2 linked regions of the Arabidopsis thaliana genome follow. The protein of the gene in region 1 interacts with the protein of each later gene in a pairwise test. Each region holds a gene or a part of one and is shown in the gene's direction. Other genes may lie near its edges.

Region 1 (5,238 bases):
AGAAAAGGATATATTTTGGAAATTTGAATCTGATCAATGTTAATCTTAGAAGCTGATTTACGAAATATTTGAAAAAATGTAGTCAAGGACATTGCAATACTCTCATTCGAATTTAGAAACTGATATATTTATTTTATGACAGTGCTTGCATCCTCTAGGCTCTAACATGCAAGATAGTTTGCGTGCGCATGCATGTATGGCCATCTCAAAATGATAAGTTTTTTTATTAAACGAAAATATTCTCTTAAAAAGAAACGGTTGCACGTTGTAAATTAGCCATGCACACATACATGTGTAGAAACATAGATATACGTGCGTAAATATGTTACCTTCGAGGAATTTGCTGAGACGGGTAACGAATTGGACACGGCAAGTGTCACAGTAAACTGATCCTTGAATCTGGAAACGATCGAAGTCGTCAGCATCAGCGGCGGCGAAACCTGCCAGAGAAGACAAACACACGGCGGAGACGACAAAGAAAGAGAAGAAGATAGCTTTGGAAGCCATTTTTATTAGAGATTTTTGTTTTGTTTTTGGTCTTCTCTTCTTTTTGATATCTCTTTTTATATTCAAACAATAAGTTGAGATATGTTTGAGAAGAGGACAACTATTCTCGTGGAGCACCGAGTTTGTTTTATATTAGAAACCCGATTGTTATTTTTAGACTGAGACAAAAAAGTAAAATCGTTGATTGTTAAAATTTAAAATTAGTTTCATTACGTTTCGATAAAAAAATGATTAGTTTATCATAGCTTAATTATAGCATTGATTTCTAAATTTGTTTTTTGACCACCCTTTTTTCTCTCTTTGGTGTTTTCTTAACATTAGAAGAACCCATAACAATGTACGTTCAAATTAATTAAAAACAATATTTCCAAGTTTTATATACGAAACTTGTTTTTTTTAATGAAAACAGTTGAATAGTTGATTATGAATTAGTTAGATCAATACTCAATATATGATCAATGATGTATATATATGAACTCAGTTGTTATACAAGAAATGAAAATGCTATTTAAATACCGATCATGAAGTGTTAAAAAGTGTCAGAATATGACATGAAGCGTTTTGTCCTACCGGGTATTCGAGTTATAGGTTTGGATCTCTCAAGAATATTTTGGGCCATATTAGTTATATTTGGGCTTAAGCGTTTTGCAAAGAGACGAGGAAGAAAGATTGGGTCAAGTTAACAAAACAGAGACACTCGTATTAGTTGGTACTTTGGTAGCAAGTCGATTTATTTGCCAGTAAAAACTTGGTACACAACTGACAACTCGTATCGTTATTAGTTTGTACTTGGTACCTTTGGTTCAAGAAAAAGTTGATATAGTTAAATCAGTTGTGTTCATGAGGTGATTGTGATTTAATTTGTTGACTAGGGCGATTCCTTCACATCACAATAACAAAGTTTTATAGATTTTTTTTTTATAACATTTTTGCCACGCTTCGTAAAGTTTGGTATTTACACCGCATTTTTCCCTGTACAAGAATTCATATATTATTTATTTATATACTCCAGTTGACAATTATAAGTTTATAACGTTTTTACAATTATTTAAATACCATGTGAAGATCCAAGAATATGTCTTACTTCTTCTTTGTGTAAGAAAACTAACTATATCACTATAATAAAATAATTCTAATCATTATATTTGTAAATATGCAGTTATTTGTCAATTTTGAATTTAGTATTTTAGACGTTATCACTTCAGCCAAATATGATTTGGATTTAAGTCCAAAATGCAATTTCGTACGTATCCCTCTTGTCGTCTAATGATTATTTCAATATTTCTTATATTATCCCTAACTACAGAGCTACATTTATATTGTATTCTAATGACAGGGAAACTTTCATAGAGATTCAGATAGATGAAATTGGTGGGAAACATCATTGAACAGGAAACTTTTAGCAAATCATATCGATTTATCTACAAAAGAATACTTAGCGTAATGAAGTTCACTTGTTGTGAATGACTATGATTTGATCAAATTAGTTAATTTTGTCGAATCATTTTTCTTTTTGATTTGATTAAGCTTTTAACTTGCACGAATGGTTCTCTTGTGAATAAACAGAATCTTTGAATTCAAACTATTTGATTAGTGAAAAGACAAAAGAAGATTCCTTGTTTTTATGTGATTAGTGATTTTGATGCATGAAAGGTACCTACGTACTACAAGAAAAATAAACATGTACGTAACTACGTATCAGCATGTAAAAGTATTTTTTTCCAAATAATTTATACTCATGATAGATTTTTTTTTTTTGAAATGTCAATTAAAAATGCTTTCTTAAATATTAATTTTAATTAATTAAATAAGGAAATATATTTATGCAAAACATCATCAACACATATCCAACTTCGAAAATCTCTATAGTACACAAGTAGAGAAATTAAATTTTACTAGATACAAACTTCCTAATCATCAAATATAAATGTTTACAAAACTAATTAAACCCACCACTAAAATTAACTAAAAATCCGAGCAAAGTGAGTGAACAAGACTTGATTTCAGGTTGATGTAGGACTAAAATGGCTACGTATCAAACATCAACGATCATTTAGTTATGTATGAATGAATGTAGTCATTACTTGTAAAACAAAAATGCTTTGATTTGGATCAATCACTTCATGTGAACATTAGCAATTACATCAACCTTATTTTCACTATAAAACCCCATCTCAGTACCCTTCTGAAGTAATCAAATTAAGAGCAAAAGTCATTTAACTTTCCTAAAACAATGGCTTTAAAACATATGCAAATCTTTCTCTTCGTCGCTATATTTTCATCATTCTGTTTCTCCATCACTCTTTCTCGTCCACTCGACAATGAACTCATCATGCAAAAGAGGCACATCGAGTGGATGACTAAACACGGCCGTGTCTACGCGGATGTGAAGGAGGAAAACAATCGCTACGTTGTGTTCAAAAACAACGTCGAACGCATTGAACATTTAAATAGCATTCCTGCCGGAAGAACTTTCAAACTTGCGGTAAATCAGTTTGCTGATTTAACCAATGACGAATTTCGTTCCATGTACACTGGTTTCAAAGGTGTCTCGGCATTATCTAGCCAAAGCCAAACTAAAATGTCGCCGTTTAGGTACCAAAACGTTTCTTCTGGTGCTTTGCCGGTTTCTGTTGACTGGAGGAAGAAAGGAGCTGTGACCCCTATCAAGAATCAAGGCAGCTGCGGTATAACTCAAATCTTTATTCATATATATATAAGTGAAATCAAATTGAACCAACCGAAATTTATGTATTCAATCAATTTGAGTTAATTCATAGTGAACAAACCGATCCAAACCAAATCCATAGTGTAACTGACCGAATCGAATAACCATATTTTTATTAAATTTTTCTATGTTAAGTTATATATATTTTGTTTCATACCGTTTTATTGAGATATGTAGTTAGACACATGAAAATATTTATGATAGTGACACTAATGAGTGATGTTTTTGTAGGATGTTGTTGGGCGTTTTCAGCGGTTGCGGCTATTGAAGGAGCAACACAAATAAAGAAAGGGAAACTTATATCTTTGTCAGAACAACAGCTTGTTGATTGCGACACAAACGATTTTGGCTGCGAAGGCGGTTTAATGGATACTGCGTTTGAGCATATAAAAGCGACTGGCGGCTTGACAACTGAGTCAAATTATCCTTACAAAGGCGAAGACGCTACTTGCAATTCCAAAAAGACCAATCCAAAAGCAACTTCTATTACAGGTTCACTTTAGTTAAAGAGCTGGCATATAATAATTAAACAGATTAAACCGATTTTTAATCATATTATCCAAATTAATAAACATTACTATACTAGATAAAATTCATATTTTGAATCTTAAAAAGCTCATGTACGTTCACATATCATAGGTTATGAGGATGTCCCGGTTAATGATGAGCAAGCACTGATGAAGGCAGTGGCACACCAACCGGTTAGCGTTGGAATTGAAGGAGGTGGTTTTGATTTCCAATTCTATTCGTCTGGTGTGTTCACTGGAGAGTGCACTACGTATCTTGATCATGCAGTAACTGCGATTGGATACGGCGAATCTACTAACGGATCAAAGTATTGGATCATCAAGAATTCATGGGGAACAAAATGGGGAGAAAGTGGATATATGAGGATTCAAAAAGATGTCAAGGATAAACAAGGACTATGTGGTCTTGCCATGAAAGCTTCTTACCCAACTATATGAATTCAAAACCGTGTTAAGCTTTTAATTGTGTATGTTTGTGTGGGATTGATGTCTAAAAATAATTTGAATTGTTTTATGTAAAAAAATTGTATTTAGACTGTTGTATGCATTTTATGAAATTGTAAGCTTATGTAATGCAAAGGATTGATAATTTTCGAAATGTTTCTTTCAAATTTCAACGGTATTAGCTAGGGATAATTTGAAGCATATGCACAATCAAATTCCACCAAGTAAAAATGAAAATTTGTTAAAAAAATGAAGTTTGAAAACTCTTAACCATTTACTGAGAAGACTGTAATAAACCGAATTTGGTTCAGTTTGATTTTTATGGAAAAAGACGAACCGTCCGGTTAATGCTTTTTACTTTTTTAAAATAAACCGGTTTTGGTTTGCTTGGATATAAAGCCGACCCGACCCGGATTGACCATGTTCCTTGCACGACTCCTTTTTCTCACCGTTCTCCGTCATCGTCTTCTTCTTTCTCACATTCATTGACTCTCCTCCATAATAAACATTGCAATCTCTCAGAAAGATAAGATCAGCCATGGCTGAGAAAGAAACTCCAGCAATCATACTTCAATTCGCTCCATTGAACAGTTCCGTCGACGAAGGTTTCTGGCATAGCTTCTCCTCTTTGAAACTCGACAAACTCGGAATCGATGATTCTCCGATTTCAATCACCGGTAAACACACAATCATCGAATTAAAAAATCATCCAATGCATCGATTTTTATATATTATTCGATGAGTCTATGCATTCGAGCTCTTATGATCCGTTTAGGTTAGAGAAGCAAAAAAAAAAGTTGAAAACTTGAAAATCCTCTGTTTTCTGGGCAAGTTGTTATGATCCGTTTAGGTTAGAGAAGCAAAAAAAAAGTTGAGAACTTTAAAAGCCTCTGTTTTGTTTAGTAGAGATTATTCAGATTTAGAATTTATGTGCTTTTTTGGAACTGAAATTTTCAGGTTTCTATGGACCATGTGGACATCCACAAGTCTCAAATCATTTGACTCTTTTATCAGAGTCATTGCCTTTAGATG
Region 2 (4,716 bases), 690 kb from region 1:
TACTAGGAAAGTTTCTGGACCAATCTTCAGTAAGAATCAAATAAAACTCAGAGCAACTTAAATTATAATGTGTATGGAGGAGATTAGATGGAAGCTGAATAACTAACATATACTGCACCAAATCAAAAGCAGTTTTCGAATTTTAAAGGCTCAAACACTCATTGGGCCGATGTATGGGCCAAATACACAAGTAACTAACATATACATACTTGTGTTTGCTATGGTACCCAATGATTCATGTCATTTGTTTTCACAAACTTTTAACTCTTTTTTTTTCCTCTAAGCCGATTGAAACAAATTGGGTCCATTGCATAATTTACCTAAAGCTAAGCTGATATTGAATATTAGTTTCTTCCATCAAATGTCAATTGTTTATAATTCATCCCCCGACAAAACTAAATGGGCCGATTCTTAGGCCCATATTAGGTGGTCACTCCGGTTGTGCTAAAAATTGTTCAGAGAAGTCAAAGTCTCCAGATTGATGTCAATTGTCAACACTCTACAAGATCACTCCTTTCCATGGAGTTCAACTAGAAGAGCTTTTCGATCAATTTCACCAAATCAGAAACAATTTCGAATTTTTAACACTCCTTGGGCCGATTAATGGGCCAAATGATAGGTCACTCCAGGCCTTTCCCAAACCCTATAGTCCTCCTCGGCTATAAATAGCAAGTGGAGTAGAGCGACTTTGCTCACTCAGTTTCCTTCCAAAAGAAAGAGAAAGAGCATCGTTTTGAGCAAATGAGTAGGAACATGGAAGTTAACGCAGGCAGTTCCGGCGAAATTCCGTCTCCAAGTAAAGTTTTCATCTTTCACTGTCATTTCTTATAAAAATCAAACCTTTATAGTTTACACGTCAAATCTCTCTTTCTAATAACGAATTTGTGTTTGTTTTATCTTATGTATGTACAGTAAGGAACCGATTTCAGAAAAGTGGGAGTCAAGCGGTGTACGAGGTGACAGAGACGAAGAAATCTTGCGTGACGAGAGTCGACATGCCTGGTTGTCCCGAGTCAGATCTCACCTACTGGGTCGACGCCAACAACGTCCACTTCTTCGCCGACGAACCAGCAATGCCTGAGTACGAAAACGCCGGACGCAAATACGGAGGCTCCATGATTTTCAACCCTGAGGCTTACGACGTCAAGAAAACTAAAGTGAAGCTTATCAACGGAGTGCTCTGGATCACCGTCCCTAAGATCCCAGGCAAAAACGCTTCCATTAATGTCAAGGAGAGGATCCTCCATTACTGATTTAACAACACCTTGGTTTGTGTCTCGTAATGGTACTTGTGTCTAGCGTCTCTATCTATCTATGAACTTTGATGCAGCTACTGCTTTATGTTTATCATTTTGTGGTTTAGTTAAGAACGATCTTGCTTCTATATGTCGTGATCTCAATAAAGAAAAAGTTGTCAGCTTTCTTTGTTCTATTTAATCTTACATTAACCTAGCTATTCGATAAGACTATATAGATCTTTGCCATTATTAAACCGGATTACGAGTATGTAACCTGGACATGTTAATAGATATATGTTGTTGTAAGTAGGGATCAAACTTTTTAATAGCGTTGTCGTAATAATTGGATAAACACTAAACGACGGTTGAAACCTTATTTGATCTTTGATGAAAAAAAAAAAGATAATTGAGAGCTCATAATTTTTTTACTCTTGAAGATTGCTGACGTCAGCGTCGTCTTGTCAAAAATGTTTGAAAATTAATGAAGAGTGAAGAGTGTGGGTACGGTTTTACTTTTGCAGTCATTTTTGTCGTACATAATTACATATAAACGAAAGGAGTAAAAAAAGCGTGGGATAGCTCACAGAGCTGGTGACGTCAGCTTATTCTCTACCGTAAAAAAAATCAAAAGAGTAAAAGCAAGTTTTTTTTCTTACCGAGAGAGAGAGTCGGTGACGTAGGCAAGACCAGTCAAACTTATGCTATGAAGGTTAAAAAAAAGCCAGCTGGAGCGTGCCACGTCACAGTCTGTACCACAAGATGGTGCTTCGTCTATATTTATCAACAGGAGAACAAAACGCCATTTTTACGCAACCTACCTTGAACTAGAAGAGAAGAGAGAGCAAAAAACAAAGAGAGAGATGGGTGAGACAAAGGCAGATTTCAGGGACATGTCAAGAATTCCTAAAGTTCGAGGTATCTCTTTTCACGAGCTACTAGATTTCCCAAGAACAACATTGTTCTAATTTTTCTCGGAAAATATGTGTTTTTTCTAGAAAGTTGTCTCAATTTGTTTACTTGTGAAGTGTTAACATGAACTTGGTACAAAGATTTACAGTTTTTTTACTGTGCATGATTCATGAAAATGAAGCAGATCGAGTTAGTTCCATCTTTGATAAGTGTCTTCCTTTGTTCTCTGTATACTTTTCTTCATCAAGTTTTGATCTTTGTTTACTTATTATTATTACAGAGGGGTTCTACGCGACGAACAATCAGTTTCAGAAAGCGGGTCCAAAGGGTTTCGTTCAAGTGAAGGTTCTGGAGAACGACAATCTCTACGTGCGTGTCGACTTGCCTGGTGTTCCAGACGACGCCGTTCGCTACAGAGTTGACGCCGTGAGACAAAAGGTTGTCTTTTTCTCCGGTGAAACTCTGAACAACGGCAAGGAAGGTGTGCGTCAGTACTCTGGAACCGCTGGGCTTGGCTGTGACTGCTGCGAGATCACAGGCGTGGATGCCAAAATGAAAGATGGAGTTTTGAGGATGATTCTCACAAGGGTCAAGGTTGTGAGCAAGGCTCAAGACAACAACAACAACAAGTGTACTCTCACTGTGCCTCCTTTTACAGGTTCGACTCATTCCTCTTCTCTAAAGTCACAATCTCTTTTGCTGCATCATTTGTTGTTAATACAGTACTCTCTGTTCTTTATTAAGGTCAATCCGGAATACGCTTGGAGGATCATCCGTGTCTGGTGTCTGGTCGCAAGGGAGCACTAATTGGGGTGACAAAAGCGGGAGGAGGGGCTCACTTTGCAGTGGACATGCCAGGTGTTAGTCCGGATGATGTGGAAGTGTATGCTGATGAAAAGGAAATCAGATTCAAAGCTGAGATCAAGGACGTGTATGAACACGATGAGAGCGGTCGAACCTACCTCGGAAGCGTCCAAAGTCCTTTTCCCGCTTTAATTTCGAACAACACCATCGCTTGGGATGCAGAATTTGGTGTTCTCAGGATTGCTGTCATACCTCCTGACGACATGACCACCATCAACAACAAAAGAAACCCTATTGAATGAATGATCTCTCTACCTCTCTTTTAGCTAGTACTCTACTATATTTTCATTTTGGGACATTGACTAGTTTTCTCTGTTTAAGTTGAGACATTGTGTGTGTGAGAGAGATTAGTCCTGCTTTTGTGTTTGCTATCGAATCAAGTGATTCATGTCATTTGTTTTCACAATCTTAACTCTTTTGTTCCCCTAAGCTGAATTCAAAAACAAACAAACTGGATCCCTCGAATAACCTGATTGGTGATGATGATTGCTCAAAACCCCCTAAAGCTGATTCCATGGAATGTCAATTGTTTATAGATCCTAGGACATTTGATCTGTCACTCAACAGTGCCTAATTCCTCAATTGAATCGAAATGGTCATGAAAGGAGTGTGATCATTTTATCAGACAAGTCAAAGTTTCTACTCTTCATCATTATTAACACATCCAGTAACAAAACTAATTGGGCCGATTATTAGGCCCATGATAGGTGGATCACTCCAGGCCTTTTCCAAACTCCACGAAAGCAGGCAGAAACACTTTCTTCCCGTGAGTTTTTCCCGGTTGATCTGCGATTCAACAGTGTCTATCCGAAATTTAGTTGAAATGGTCATAGAAGAGTGTAGTAGAAAGGTTGGAATTTGTGCTCAAAATCGGTCAGAGAAGTCAAAGTTTGCTACTTTTCCAGTCTCTAGAATGATGTCAACAAGATCACTCATTTCCATGGAGTCAACTTGAAGAAGAGCTTTTTCGATCAAATCCTTGAATTCGATTGATGGGTATCCTCGGCTGCGACGCCCATGGCGATTTGAACGATGCAGAGTTCAGCAAACCCTTACCTTCGATTGGTATCTACGTTGCCGTAGCTTCACTCATCTGTGGTCTAGCCATGGCCGCCGATCTTATACACGGCTTCCGACACCGCAAATTCTGGTTTCCCTGTAAGTTCTTCTCTCTCAACGCCACTTCTCTGACTTTCATCGCTGTCGGAATCAAACTCTCTGTGGATCTCAACACTTCCATGCCGAGTCGTCAGGATCAGTTAGCTAAACTCAGCAGCACCGTCTTTGTATGTACTGTGATGGGTAATTCGATGCCTTCTCTGGGTATTATGGACAACAATGATCTCCTCATGAATCTTATGGCTTTAGGGATTCTTGTCATCACTGATGTTGTTAACATCTGTATTCAGTTGGGTACTGGTGCGATTTATGTTTTCTCTGAGGAACATTTTCTGGTCGTACTTCTCATGCTTCTTATGCTTATGATCTTGTGTTTCTCGGCCACCACAGTTCCCACTACGAAAAGAATCTTGGAGAGTAAGTACAATAAGAGGTACGACGTTGCTATGAAGTGTCCTTTGGCTACAGAGAGAACAGTTGCTAAGAAAATTCAGCAAGATTTGTCAAAGTTTTGGATGATGGCTCATACTAGTAGCCCTCAATTCGTGATGGCTCGTTCTGTCACGTGCACTGCTTCTGGTTTCTT

What was found. The genes of interacting proteins can lie anywhere in the genome.
Region 2: the proteins of SAG12 (region 1) and AT5G47590 interact in a two-hybrid assay, tested with the Arabidopsis thaliana proteins (one large-scale study listed by BioGRID).

Annotation. Positions count from the first base shown.
Region 1 is NC_003076.8:18,610,560-18,615,797, forward strand, and holds SAG12 (senescence-associated gene 12), read left to right. Parts: upstream 1-2,679; 5' UTR 2,680-2,740; coding exon 2,741-3,194; intron 3,195-3,466; coding exon 3,467-3,727; intron 3,728-3,874; coding exon 3,875-4,200; 3' UTR 4,201-4,404; downstream 4,405-5,238. Other genes in the region: AT5G45880 (Pollen Ole e 1 allergen and extensin family protein), read right to left, coding at 330-507; APG7 (ThiF family protein), read left to right, coding at 4,745-4,883, 5,164-5,238. UniProt on the Arabidopsis thaliana protein: Cysteine protease that may have a developmental senescence specific cell death function during apoptosis, heavy metal detoxification, and hypersensitive response.
Region 2 is NC_003076.8:19,296,482-19,301,197, reverse strand, and holds AT5G47590 (Heat shock protein HSP20/alpha crystallin family), read left to right. Parts: upstream 1-2,023; 5' UTR 2,024-2,098; coding exon 2,099-2,153; intron 2,154-2,427; coding exon 2,428-2,805; coding exon of another isoform or gene 2,806-2,891; coding exon 2,892-3,253; 3' UTR 3,254-3,584; downstream 3,585-4,716. Other genes in the region: AT5G47600 (HSP20-like chaperones superfamily protein), read left to right, coding at 742-796, 913-1,253; ASG7 (uncharacterized protein), read left to right, coding at 4,004-4,716.